Linked DNA regions of Drosophila melanogaster. The protein of the gene in region 2 interacts with the protein of the main gene of each other region in a pairwise test. Each region holds a gene or a part of one and is shown on either strand. Other genes may lie near its edges.

Region 1 (5,461 bases), on a different chromosome or scaffold from region 2:
CTGGAATGACATGTGAAAAGCGCCAAAATCTGTGAGGCGATCAAATGGACACGTACGTCAGGAAGCAGGAAAAATCAAAAAAGAACTCTTGTGGGTGGAAAATGGAAATGCAAAATGAACAAAGGCCAATCCGAAAACGTGAGAAAATTCAGTCAAAACGATTCATTTTATAACTGCCGACGCCAGATGGTAGGCATAACTCCAAATGAGGGGGAAAAGAATATATAACTTGCAAAAATGATACGATATATATGCCATATCAATAATTGAACGATTCAATCAACTGAACAATAATGGGAATGTAACCTCATTTGCCTTTTATATTCGTTTTAATTTTTTCATTATCATTGAATCCATTCTGGACATTGTCAAGTCTTACATTTGCGCGATTGTTCCTGAATTTAATTAAAAAAGAATGAATGACAAAAATTATATTTGCGGAATACAACAAATAAAAATGAAACCAGCTCCCCAAATGACAATTGAATGAAAACAACAACAATCAACAATCGAAAACAACAACAATGCAGGAACGAACAATAAAACGCGAGTCTTTCTCTTTCACCGCGGAGAATCGGTGAATTTCGAATGGGTTAAGCGGTGAGGGTGATTTCTGGCGACAGGATAATGGTTAATATTGTATTCGAATAATAGTAATCACGGCACAACTTGACTCATCTCTCACCTGCCATTATGCGATCAAATTAAATTTACATTTATTTAATTTTCAACTGCACTCTGATACTGTATTTATACTGATAGATTTTTATCAGATAAATATCTGATAAATAAAATGTTTTTCAGTTTGCACGGCACCATAACAAAGAAAGAAAATCTATTATTAGCTTAAGTAATTATTAAATTAGACAGAAAACATATTTAGAGTTTATTTATCCAACTACGAGTATTAGAAGTTTATCATGAATTATTTTACAACTTCCACTAATTTGAACAATATTCTTAAGACAATTTTGATTGTCACTATTCCGCAAAAATGAAATTAAAAATGCATCAGCTAGCTTATTTATTTATTGAATTTGATAGCAAAACACATAAAGAGTATATGTGCTAATAATTTAAAACGTTTATCCTTATTTGTTTTACTCTTTACACTTATTTTAACTGGATTCTAAAAGAATATTTATTTATATAAAATAAGGAATTCATCATAAATTGTATCACAAATGTAACAATTATTTATGCCGCATGTGGGTGGGGAGCGATTTTAGGAAACAGGATCCTGCATTCATCCTACACTGTGTGCTATTATCACTCACTTAGTGTCCTCGTCTGCTAAGTGAAATGCTGAAAACTCAGAAAGAAAAATGTGACGCGGACAAAACTTTTTCCATTACACAACGTACAACAGTTTTTGCTTTCATTATTATTTGAGATTCGTTGTTGTTGCCGTTCTACGTTGTCCTTTCTTCCTTTTTTGGGGAAAGCAGACACAACGGAAACGTTGCGAACGCTGAAAGCTTTTTATGCTCTTACGCTATGGGCCAGGTATAAGAGCTTTGTAAATGCAATTGGAAATTGCACTAAGCTTTGGTGCATCGTTGTGTGGGTGCGTGCATGAGCAGGAGAAAGGCAAAGAGAAGGGTGGGATAAAAGCTCAAAGGGGAGAATGGTTTTACTTTTGGGGTTATGGAGTTTTAAAAAATATAATAGAATATTGCAACCTTATTCCTGAAAGAAACATTTTTATTAAAACAACGGCTCTTGGGGTCAAGATGTTGTTTAATGAAGCAATGTTAAACTCTTACAATCTTTGCATCACAAAAGCCATAAATTATGTCTTCGTTTCGAAAGAGAGGTAAATATGTGTGTTAACAAGAATTTGAAAACTTATTATTATTATTTGGGAAACTCTTTTAGTTACGAATGAAAAAAACATTAGTTTGCGGTAGATTTAATTGTCAATTATTCGATTGCCCTTGTCCTTTCAATCAACATTAAAAGGTTTGTTTTCTTTTGCTACTGCTTATTTGGTAAACCAAAAAGAAAAGCTGGCTAAAACATCTTTTCTATAATAAAGCACAGAGGACCGTTCTACATGCATCTGGGTGAAGATTTGCCTCACTTCCACTGGCTCCTTTGTGGGCTTCTTTCTATGGCCAAATAAGTAAATAATTGCAGTAATATCCTTTCTGGAGCGGCCAGGAAGAAGTGGCAAAAAGGGAACGGAAAAGAATGGAGAAGAATGGCGAGCGAAATGAAAGAATGCGAGAATGGAGAGCGGGGCAAGAGAATGGAAAGCGTGTTTCCATGTCCTTTTCACAAACTAAAAAGTCCTTTCACACACACACATAGTACTGACTACAGAGTACACATAGAGAACGGTATATAGCAGAACACAGACACCCACAATGGACAAAAATTCACACCAAAGACCCATTGTGATTGGCCCAACAAACACGCACACACATACGCGGGGAGAGAGTTGTGTTCTCTCCCTCTCTCGTTCTAACTGCATAGGAGATGCGGAAGTGCAACGCCGCCGTGCAAACAATAACGGAAATTGTGTGCCCACTGTGCGAAAATCAATGTGCTCCCGCGCTCGCCCTGGCTCTCTTTCTCTCTCTCGCTCCGTACTTTGAGCTCCCCCTGCCCCACAGGATTGGGGTCGCTAAATCGAATAACACGAAGCACAGCCGAACGAGAGCTGCCTGGCTTTTGGCTCTATTGAGCTCCTCTATTGAACACACCCCTCAATGGGCGAACAACTATAACCGATATAAAGGAGCCAATGGAACAAAGCCAGTGGAACAATGGGCCGCAAAACGAAAGAGAGAAGACGCTATGTGTGAGTGAGAGCGCGACGACGGCGCAGCTCTCTCCCAGGTAAGAAGCCCAGCCTCTATCCCGCTCGCACCCACGTGGCTTACGTAAAGGTAATGGTGCGAGGGTTGCTCGCACTTCGTGCTCAACTCTCTTCCGAGAGAAACGGGATTTGGCTGCAGTCGTGTAGGCCGCACTGGAACACTACTGAAATCAGTCACAAAAAAGCAGTCGATCCGAGCAGAAGCAAAGCAAGAGCAAAGCAGAAGCAAAAGCAAGACAGTAATTGACATAGAGACAAAGAAAAAATCTGAGAAATCACAGTTGAACCACAGACATATTGTGTTCTAGAAAGTGAAGTGTTGATCTTGAAAGAAGCAAAAGTTAAACAAAGTGTTCAAAATAGCTGGAATGGCCACCTTATCGACACACCCCAATTACGGTTTCCATTTGGGTCAGGCCCAAGGCTTGGAGGACTACGCACCGCAAAGTCAGCTCCAGCTGAGTCCCGGCATGGACATGGATATCAAGCGTGTGCTGCACTACTCCCAAAGCCTGGCAGCCATGGGCGGATCGCCCAATGGACCCGCCGGCCAGGGTGTGAACGGATCCTCGGGCATGGGTCACCACATGTCCAGTCACATGACCCCGCACCACATGCACCAGGCGGTCTCCGCCCAACAGACCTTGTCGCCCAACAGTTCCATCGGATCCGCCGGCAGTCTGGGTAGCCAGAGCAGCCTGGGCAGCAATGGCAGTGGTCTCAACTCCAGTTCGGGTCACCAGTCCGCCGGCATGCACAGTTTGGCCACATCGCCGGGACAAGAGGGTCACATCAAGCGTCCAATGAACGCGTTCATGGTCTGGTCCCGCCTGCAGCGTCGTCAGATCGCCAAGGATAACCCCAAGATGCACAACTCTGAGATCTCCAAGCGCCTGGGTGCCGAGTGGAAGTTGCTGGCCGAGTCGGAGAAACGACCATTCATCGATGAGGCCAAGCGCTTGAGGGCCCTGCACATGAAGGAGCACCCGGACTACAAGTACCGGCCACGCCGCAAGCCCAAGAACCCACTGACCGCTGGACCCCAGGGTGGACTGCAGATGCAGGCCGGCGGCATGGGTCAACAGAAGTTGGGAGCTGGACCGGGAGCTGGAGCCGGAGGCTACAATCCATTCCATCAACTACCGCCATACTTTGCACCCTCACACCATCTGGATCAGGGTTATCCAGTGCCGTACTTCGGTGGATTTGACCCACTGGCTCTATCGAAATTGCATCAATCCCAGGCAGCGGCGGCGGCGGCGGTCAACAATCAGGGTCAGCAGCAAGGACAAGCCCCGCCCCAATTGCCGCCCACCTCGCTGAGCAGCTTCTACTCGGGCATTTATTCCGGCATCTCGGCACCTTCGCTGTACGCCGCACACTCCGCCAATGCCGCCGGACTCTACCCATCCTCGTCCACCTCCTCGCCGGGATCTTCGCCCGGAACCATCACGCCAAATGGTATGGATGGTTCCATGGACAGTGCCCTGAGGCGACCGGTTCCGGTGCTCTATTAGAGTCGAGTTTTAGGTTAGAGTACAGAGTAGAGTACAATTGTTGACGCATTCCCAAAGTGATCCACTGGTTTTAAATCTTCAAAAGCTCTAAGTAAGCCAATCCTCCAAACCACTCCGCTTAATTCTAGTACAATCTTCGCGCACTTCAGATCTAGAGAGTAAGGAGGGAACACACAAAACATTCCTAGCCAATACACAAACTATAAATTATAATTTATTTAGCGCACTCACTATACCGCAAAGAAAATTAAAAAAGATAAACCTAATTGTAAATTAATTTTATTTAGTTTTAAGCATCGAGCGAGCGCCTCCTTCTTGTTGTTTTTTTTCGCATCAGCACCTACCTAAAATGTAGCTTATAGTTTTAATTGTCTAACCCTCTCAAATTGTAAATATCCCTGCAACTATTCGTTAAAGTCTCAGTGTAGCCCCAAATGCGAGGAAAGAACGTACATCAATGTATTATTGTATTATTAATTGTATTGTAAAAGTTATCATCTAAGCGAATAATGGTTCATGAAGGCCAACACAAAACAAAGACATTTAAAAGTGAATAAAAACAAAATGATTTGAGAAAACCAAATTTGAAAACCTGTTTATTCTATTTCAAATAATTTACAGCTTGGAAGATGTGAAACTGGCAATTGGTTTTGAAATGAATGATGATGATTCTCTACCAAATGTAATCACATTAAAGACATAGGTAGAGTTGTTGTGACTGGAATCAGACGAAGTTATCATATATATATATATACCGGGAAAAAGCTGAAAAACAAAAAAGATAATTTTAAGCCTTTAATAGAATGCATTTCCCATTTTCTTAGCCAGCATACCACATTTTACAGTTATGTTATAAATTTACTTTAAACATATGCCCAAGCTATATGTGACTTAAATTTTTCAGCTGATTATATTTTATACTCCATAATTGGATTATCATATTTAAATTCGAATTTGTGTCTGTATTTTTCATAACCTTTAAGATTATACAGGGTCGTGCTCTGAGCATGCATCAAAATTATCAACGAAATTAATAACGAATTTGAATATTCATAAGACCATTAACATAATATTCTCAACTGGATTGAGTGAGTCATTCGGATAAAGCTTAAAAACAATC
Region 2 (7,854 bases):
ACTTTCCGCTGCGTGGGAATCTTTGCTCATCCTACCTGTTTCCATGCCACACCAACCCATTCCCACAGCATTGTCCTCCTTATGTGAAACTCTCTAGTTCAAGTTCAGTGTGAATATTTGTGTTGACTTTATTTTTAAACTTTTGGCCATTTGTTTTCAGTTTGCTGTTTGCCTGTAACCAGATTAAGGTCAAGTTGCTTGGATGGGCTGGGATTCGGCTTGAGATCCGGTTCATTGAGTTGCCATTCGAGGCATGAGTCGCATTTTTATACGCTTTCCGGGAAAAGATCGTTAAAGTTTGAGTTTCATTGTCGTGAAAGGGGAACTTTTTTAGCCCTAGGGTTTATAAATATAATTGAAAAAAAATTTGAAATGACAATTTATTTAACATTTTTTTAATTTTCTGTAAAATATTAATCCTAAAGATGTGCACATTTTACGATGATTTCATACTATCTAGCATGTTTTGATTACATCTTTGTTTCCTATATCCAGAATTGAGATTATTGAAACAAACGCTGATATATCAATGGCATATTCCCGTATTTATGGCTATATGAAATGCTGTAATGTTCAAATGGAATAATGGCTTATATCCTGAATAATTTTGACCCACTTACGGCTCGTAAACTATCCTATTAAATGGATTTGCCGGCATATGATATCCAACCCTCTGGCTGACTCCTGTCCGCATATTGTACGCTAGTCGAGTCAAATATGGCAATCGCGGCCTAAATGGGAACGCCTCAGTTTTCCCCTATTTCCCCTGGAATTTCCACTTCGCCAACGGAGAAAGGGAAGCAACCTCACTTCAGACGTGCATGTTGGCACATTTGCGTTGCGGATTAGCGCGGAATACTCTTTAGGATTATGATCGTTGGGCAAATCTGTTGCTCCTGCGAATGCGTAACGGATGTCGACAATTCCCTCAATCTCTGACTTTTGACAAATGTTTCATTTCTTGCTGCTAAATGGATGCAAAGTACTATCAATACAAAGGAAACACTTTATTGGAGTTTTGGCTTTGATTTATTTTTTAATTTTTTATCATAAATTAGCTAAGCTCTAGTTATTCCAATATACATTTAGTTGAAGTATAAAATTTGAGGTATATATTGCATTATATGGCCATAAAAGACGTCGGATTAACTTGCATATCTAACATTTTTGTGGGCAAATTAGCGGCAAAACTAAAAACATTTAAGATACGTGACCTAAGTCAATAAACTTGTATTTACGTGCGAATTCCAGCCATTCGGTACATTTAGGTAAATGGCCAATTTCTTTGAGAGTGACAGAAAAAGTGACTCGATGGAAAATAAAGCAGCAGGAGTTCCAATGGCTTAGATTTTGCCAAAACTGCGCCAAAATCACGTTCGAAAACTATCAATGGCAGGATTCCGGCTGTGGGTCATCCTCATCCTGGCTGTGGATGTGTGTGAGTGTGGTGCATATAAATTTCGCCACCTCCTAAACTCTCGTTTTGTTTGGCAGTGTGCGTGGGACATCATTTGGGTATTATGTGCTCGCACAGACACCAGAATATTTGTGTGTGTGTCTGTGTGCATATAGATATAAGTGAAACTCCTGCGGTCGGCAAAAGTCAACCTGTTGAATGCAGGAGTCACTTGGAGTGAGATGGCAGCTATTTTCGTCTCGCCATTCGGCAAAAATGATCTGAGCAAATTAGTAACATTGCGAAAAGTCAATTGCCCCGGGTAAACAGGTAAAAATCCAGTGCAGCCAATGGCAGGTTGTTTTCTCAGGATCAGGTAACAGATCCTTTTCGGGATCAGTTGGGAAACTGTTAAAAGTGCTTGTGCCGCTGGAAAGCGGCTCAGTTGCAAACAGGTGATTGCAGGGATATGAGCAAGTGCTGAGAAGGTGCTCGCAACAGTCTCAAAGCAGGATCTATAAAAAAGGATATCTTTAAAATGACTAACCATCGGCGAGTGCGCAAGGATTGCTATGAGAGCAGATTGCATGGTCGGTTGTGGTTTTTGGCAACGAAATATATCAACGTTCATTTTTTTTAGTTTGTTACCAACTTTCTCCTCTGTTACTAAAAATGCTTTTTGGTTATTTCGATTTTTGCAGATATAGCCAAAACGTGTGCCATGAAGGAGAAAAGCAAAAATGCGGCACGCACGCGACGTGAAAAGGAAAACACGGAATTCTGTGAATTGGCCAAATTACTGCCGCTGCCGGCGGCGATTACTTCGCAACTGGACAAGGCCTCCGTCATCCGGCTGACCACGTCGTATTTGAAAATGCGCCAAGTCTTTCCCGATGGTAAGTTCAATCGGAAAATCGTCCTGCGGAAAAACTCACTTGATTGGCGCTCAATTTGTCGCCGCTCTTGGCTTTTCATCTCGTGTGAAATGCGCCTTGTGGCTACACGGCAAATGATGCGGAATCTTTGACAGCCACGCGACCGACACGCTCATTATAATCCAAGCTCGTCATATCCTCGCAGCAGGACATGCTCCTTTGTTTTCACTTTAACTCCAATGTACTTGCAATGATTTCATTTCATTCCATTTTACGCTGCCAGTTTTCAAGTTTAAGCGGCTATGTTTGTTTAAAGCATATGTTGGCGAGAATCGGCCAGGGAAATAACAGGGAAATAGCACTCAACAAATGGGCAGACAATAAACAGCAGGATGAAGTGGGCGGCTGGTTGGGGTTGGCGAAAACACAATGGCGGCTGCTTGGTTGTTTCACTCAAAGAGCAGCGAGAGCCGCACTGGAAAACCGAACTCGAACATCTCCCCCCCCCCCCCCCCCACACACACACACACACACACACATTTCCCGAACTTTTCCCCACCGACCATGTGAGCGTGCGCCACTGAGATTTTCTGCTGACAAAGAGGGTTGCTCGAGAAGTGAGTGGGTGGGTGGTTCGTTGGTCGGTCGGTTGGTTGGGCGTTTGACGCTCCCATTGTTGCCGCACCGTTTTGTGCTTTTCTTTTCAGCCTTTATTGAAATAATTATTTTAATAATAGGCAACAAACAACGAGATCCGGACGGGCCAAGGAAGTGCCAGTGGTATTATGTACAACACAATATATGTTGTATATATGGTGCGAAGTCGATGAAAGTCGGGGGGGGTGGGCCAGTGGGTGGAATGGTGGGCTGTGAATGGGCCACCTACGGCGCTCGATGACTTTAATTGGGAATAATATTTAGACGTCAGCAGTGGCAAGTAGGGCGTGTGCTGCCACTGCCACTGCTGCTGGTGGGAATTTTGCGAATTAAGATACTTCGAGCGGATGACAAACAATTAATTCAGGACATTGGGGCGGATAAGACAATAGAAACGGGAGCTTGACATAATACTAAATCCAAGTCCAATCAAACGGAGACAATAGAAAGGACAGCTTAAATATAAAACTATATAAAAATCATTTAAAACGGAATACAATTTGATTGTATTAAGTAGCAAGAACTTTTTAGATTTCATTTTTAAAGACAATAAAACATGTTTCATAAATCTAAATCTTATTTTGTAGGTCTTGGCGAAGCCTGGGGCTCATCGCCTGCCATGCAACGCGGCGCCACCATCAAGGAGCTGGGCTCCCATCTGCTGCAGACGCTGGACGGATTCATCTTCGTGGTGGCTCCGGATGGCAAAATCATGTACATCTCGGAAACGGCCTCCGTGCATTTGGGCCTCAGTCAGGTGAGTGTCGGTGAATGGATCTCTTGTCCTGATTTATGCGCATAATTTGCCGGGCCACCTGAATTTGCCTTTTTGTATCCTGGCCACCACTTGCATTTGCAAGTCAATGGGCTTGAATGGTGCAGGTCACCCAAGTGCTGTGGCTTCAGTAAAGACGATTCATTTGCATTTGCCCACTAATTGGCACTCAGTGCTGGTGGAGCAAATTAACATAGCTCCACTTATATGATCAGCATAAAGAAATTAACTTTACATCAGTATAGGATATATTTTATATAAATTTAATATTTAATGGTTTATTTATCTCTTTTTTTTAACCAGGTTGAGCTGACGGGCAACTCGATATTCGAGTACATACACAACTACGATCAGGACGAGATGAATGCCATTTTGTCGCTGCATCCGCACATCAACCAGCATCCAGTGAGTAGAGCATCCGTGTTTCCACAGAGTCCTTTGAAACATTTGAAAATGTTTGCGCTCTCTTTCTTTCTCTCTCCATCTCTCTCTCTCTCTCTCACTGCCATGCATCCATCCTACTCTGACTTGTACTCACGCCACAGGCCGCCTTTCTCAACTCCCTACAGCTCGCCCAGACGCACACGCCCATCGGCAGTCCCAATGGCGTCCAGCATCCATCCGCCTACGACCACGATCGCGGATCGCACACCATCGAGATCGAGAAGACCTTCTTCCTGCGCATGAAGTGCGTCCTGGCCAAAAGGAACGCGGGCCTCACCACCTCCGGATTTAAGGTAAAGAATTTTATACATACCATTCCTTTAAATGGATTGATTGCTTATCCTTGTATTACTTGATGATTTTAGGTGATACACTGCTCCGGCTATCTGAAGGCTCGCATCTATCCCGATCGCGGGGATGGACAGGGCAGCCTCATCCAGAATCTCGGCCTGGTGGCCGTCGGTCACTCGCTGCCTTCATCCGCCATCACGGAAATCAAGCTGCACCAGAATATGTTCATGTTCCGGGCCAAGCTGGACATGAAGCTCATCTTCTTCGATGCACGGTAAGTGTAATTCAAATTTCCATTTAATTAGGGCACAAATAGATGAATAGTTCGTTGTCTGCATATTTTCTATCACTTTGTATTGAAATCCACTCGAGAAATTCCTATAAATCTTACAACATCGATTTATTGGATGTTTAAATATCCTTAATGTTTAATATCCTTAAATATCATAATGTAATTCTAAGACCAATTTTTATCCGTGTAGCCTGGTGCTTTCACAGCATAATTTTTCTCACTGCACTTAAAAAATTCTCGAAAGTATCCTTTGCCTGTTTGCCGTATATTCGACACTAGGCAAATATTTAAACGGGCCGCAGAATTCGTTTTTTACACCACGATAAAAAGTACCAGCAGACGCCCCCAAAAAGATAATGTTTTCAAAGTGGCGGAAAACAAAAAAAATAATCGAGTAGGGAAAAGGAAATGTAAGCAAGACGGTGGCGACATGACAAAAGGAAAAACAAATCATTTCCCTCTTGAGCTTGATTTTCCTTTGTCCCTGTGCGTGTGTGTGAGTGTGTGAGTGAGTGCTGAGGGGGAAAGGGGACGCTGTGTAAGTGCCTGCCGGGCCAAAAAACCAGCCCACTTTGTCTGACATTATTGTCACTCAATTACCCTCATGATGCCACACAGCATATTGCCATCCTATTCTGGCGCCCTCGCACTTTCGCAGCAAACAACCCCAAAGTGCTGAGCGGGAAATCAGCCCCTTTTTCGCCGCTTCTTTTTTTTTTGTTTTCCTGCATAATTGAATTGGAGTCGGCAAAAGTAAACCAACCGAATAAAACACGCCAGCGACAAAGGCAACACCAATGACCATTCATTCACTGTTTAAATAAGCCAGCGAAACTTTTGCCCTCGACCTCGAAACTTATCCCCATTCTCATGCTCATCCTTTTGCCTGTTTATTTGCTTACAGCGTATCGCAGCTAACAGGATACGAGCCGCAGGACCTCATCGAGAAGACCCTGTATCAGTATATCCACGCCGCGGACATCATGGCCATGCGCTGCTCTCATCAAATCCGTAAGTACACTCATCCCAATACACTGCCATAATAATTTCCATAAAACATCATTCTCATCGAGTTTGTTTCTTCTCTCCCTATCAATAGTGCTGTACAAAGGACAAGTGACCACCAAGTACTACCGCTTCCTCACCAAAGGCGGCGGCTGGGTGTGGGTGCAGTCGTACGCGACACTGGTGCACAATTCGCGATCCTCGCGAGAAGTGTTCATCGTGAGCGTGAACTATGTGCTGAGCGAACGAGAGGTGAAAGACTTGGTGCTGAACGAGATTCAGACGGGCGTTGTGAAGCGGGAGCCCATATCGCCGGCGGCTCAAGCGGCACAGGCAGCTCAAGCGGCCCAAGCGGCCCAAGCGGCACAGGCGGCACAGGCGGCACATGTGGCTCAAGCGGTGCAGGCCCAGGTGGTGGTGGTGCCCCAGCAGTCGGTGGTGGTGCAGCCGCAGTGCGCCGGAGCAACGGGTCAGCCGGTGGGTCCGGGTACGCCAGTTAGTCTGGCCCTCAGTGCAAGTCCCAAGCTGGATCCGTATTTCGAGCCAGAGCTGCCGCTGCAGCCGGCCGTAACGCCCGTGCCCCCAACGAATAATAGTAGTAGTAGTAGCAACAATAACAACGGCGTGTGGCACCACCATCATGTGCAACAGCAGCAGCAGTCCGGCAGCATGGATCACGATAGCCTGAGTTACACGCAGCTTTATCCGCCCTTGAACGACCTGGTGGTGAGCTCGAGCAGCAGTGTGGGCGGTGGCACCGCCTCAAGTGCGGGCGGTGGATCCAGTGCGTCGGCCTCGTCCTCCGGCGTTTACTCCACGGAGATGCAGTATCCGGACACGACCACCGGCAACCTGTACTACAATAACAACAATCACTATTACTATGACTACGATGCGACGGTGGATGTGGCCACCTCGATGATACGCCCATTCTCGGCCAATTCGAATAGCTGCTCGAGCAGTTCGGAGAGCGAAAGGCAGCTGTCCACCGGAAATGCCTCGATTGTGAACGAAACATCGCCCTCACAGACGACCTACAGCGATCTGAGTCACAACTTCGAGCTGAGCTACTTCTCCGACAACAGTTCGCAACAGCATCAGCATCAGCAGCAGCAGCAGCATCTGATGGAGCAGCAGCATCTGCAATACCAATACGCCACCTGGTGATCCTAAAAATGTAAATAACCAAATGTTGGACGATGAGCCTTGACTGCTACTGTACTGTTGTTTATAAAACGTCGACTGCCCCCACCCCACCATCCGTTGCAATGTTATATACACCTCTGAGTTCTCAGTTCGAAATTGTAATATGTGGCTGAGCCACACACCATCTGAATTTCAGGACCTCCTCTATGCCTCTATTTTATTTATTTAACACCCCCACCATGCATTACCCAATGCAATGCGTTCGCGTTAATTGTGCAGTGTAAAGTTACAAAGAAATTGATACAAAATGCTAAGAAATTAAGAATGCGGAATGATCGTTGTTAACAAATGCAAAAGCAAATACAAATTCTAATAATAAATAGTTGTAAGGCCTAACTGTAAACTGTTCATACAAACTAACTTAAATTAATTGCACATACTTATACTTATAACTATATAGTAAAGCGCATACACTTGGCCCCCATAATCATGCATACACATCGGATCTACGAATATACATATGTATATGCAATAATGTGTAAATAGTGCAGGGTCCGCTCCACTATGCAGTTAACGAATATGATCTTCATAAGTCAAGTAAATAATTGTAAATGTAAAATCTATTATTATCGAGAATTTTTCTAATTTGAATAAACAAATTATTACGTGGGTGAACAATAAAAAAAGAGCGAGAGTTCGATTTTTTCAAATAAGCGCCGCTGGAAGCCTCTAGAGTTATTATTTAATTTAGTAATCTTGGTTTACAAATAAAATGTTATTTTCAAAAACTAGCACCTTTATCTATTTCCATTATCTTTGTTTTAAAATTATCTATTTATATGCTTTTATATATTTCACAATTTAGCGTTTTAATCAAATTTTGTATGGATTGAAAAATGCAGCTTTGACGCAATAGCCGATTTTAAAATATTTCGTTGCATATTTTTAGGTAACATACTAAACTACACATATA

Evidence for each region.
Region 1: the proteins of sim (region 2) and D interact in a two-hybrid assay, tested with the Drosophila melanogaster proteins (one study listed by BioGRID).

Annotation. Positions count from the first base shown.
Region 1 is NT_037436.4:14,175,070-14,180,530, reverse strand, and holds D (dichaete), read left to right. Parts: upstream 1-1,910; 5' UTR 1,911-1,962; intron 1,963-2,038; 5' UTR 2,039-3,192; coding exon 3,193-4,341; 3' UTR 4,342-4,921; downstream 4,922-5,461. UniProt on the Drosophila melanogaster protein: Essential for segmentation and CNS development. May modulate the actions of other transcription factors, including gap and pair-rule proteins.
Region 2 is NT_033777.3:13,070,565-13,078,418, forward strand, and holds sim (single-minded), read left to right. Parts: upstream 1-1,834; 5' UTR 1,835-1,934; coding exon 1,935-1,986; intron 1,987-2,097; coding exon 2,098-2,292; intron 2,293-3,515; coding exon 3,516-3,685; intron 3,686-4,006; coding exon 4,007-4,108; intron 4,109-4,248; coding exon of another isoform or gene 4,249-4,272; coding exon 4,273-4,440; intron 4,441-4,512; coding exon 4,513-4,712; intron 4,713-5,634; coding exon 5,635-5,741; intron 5,742-5,829; coding exon 5,830-6,902; 3' UTR 6,903-7,560; downstream 7,561-7,854.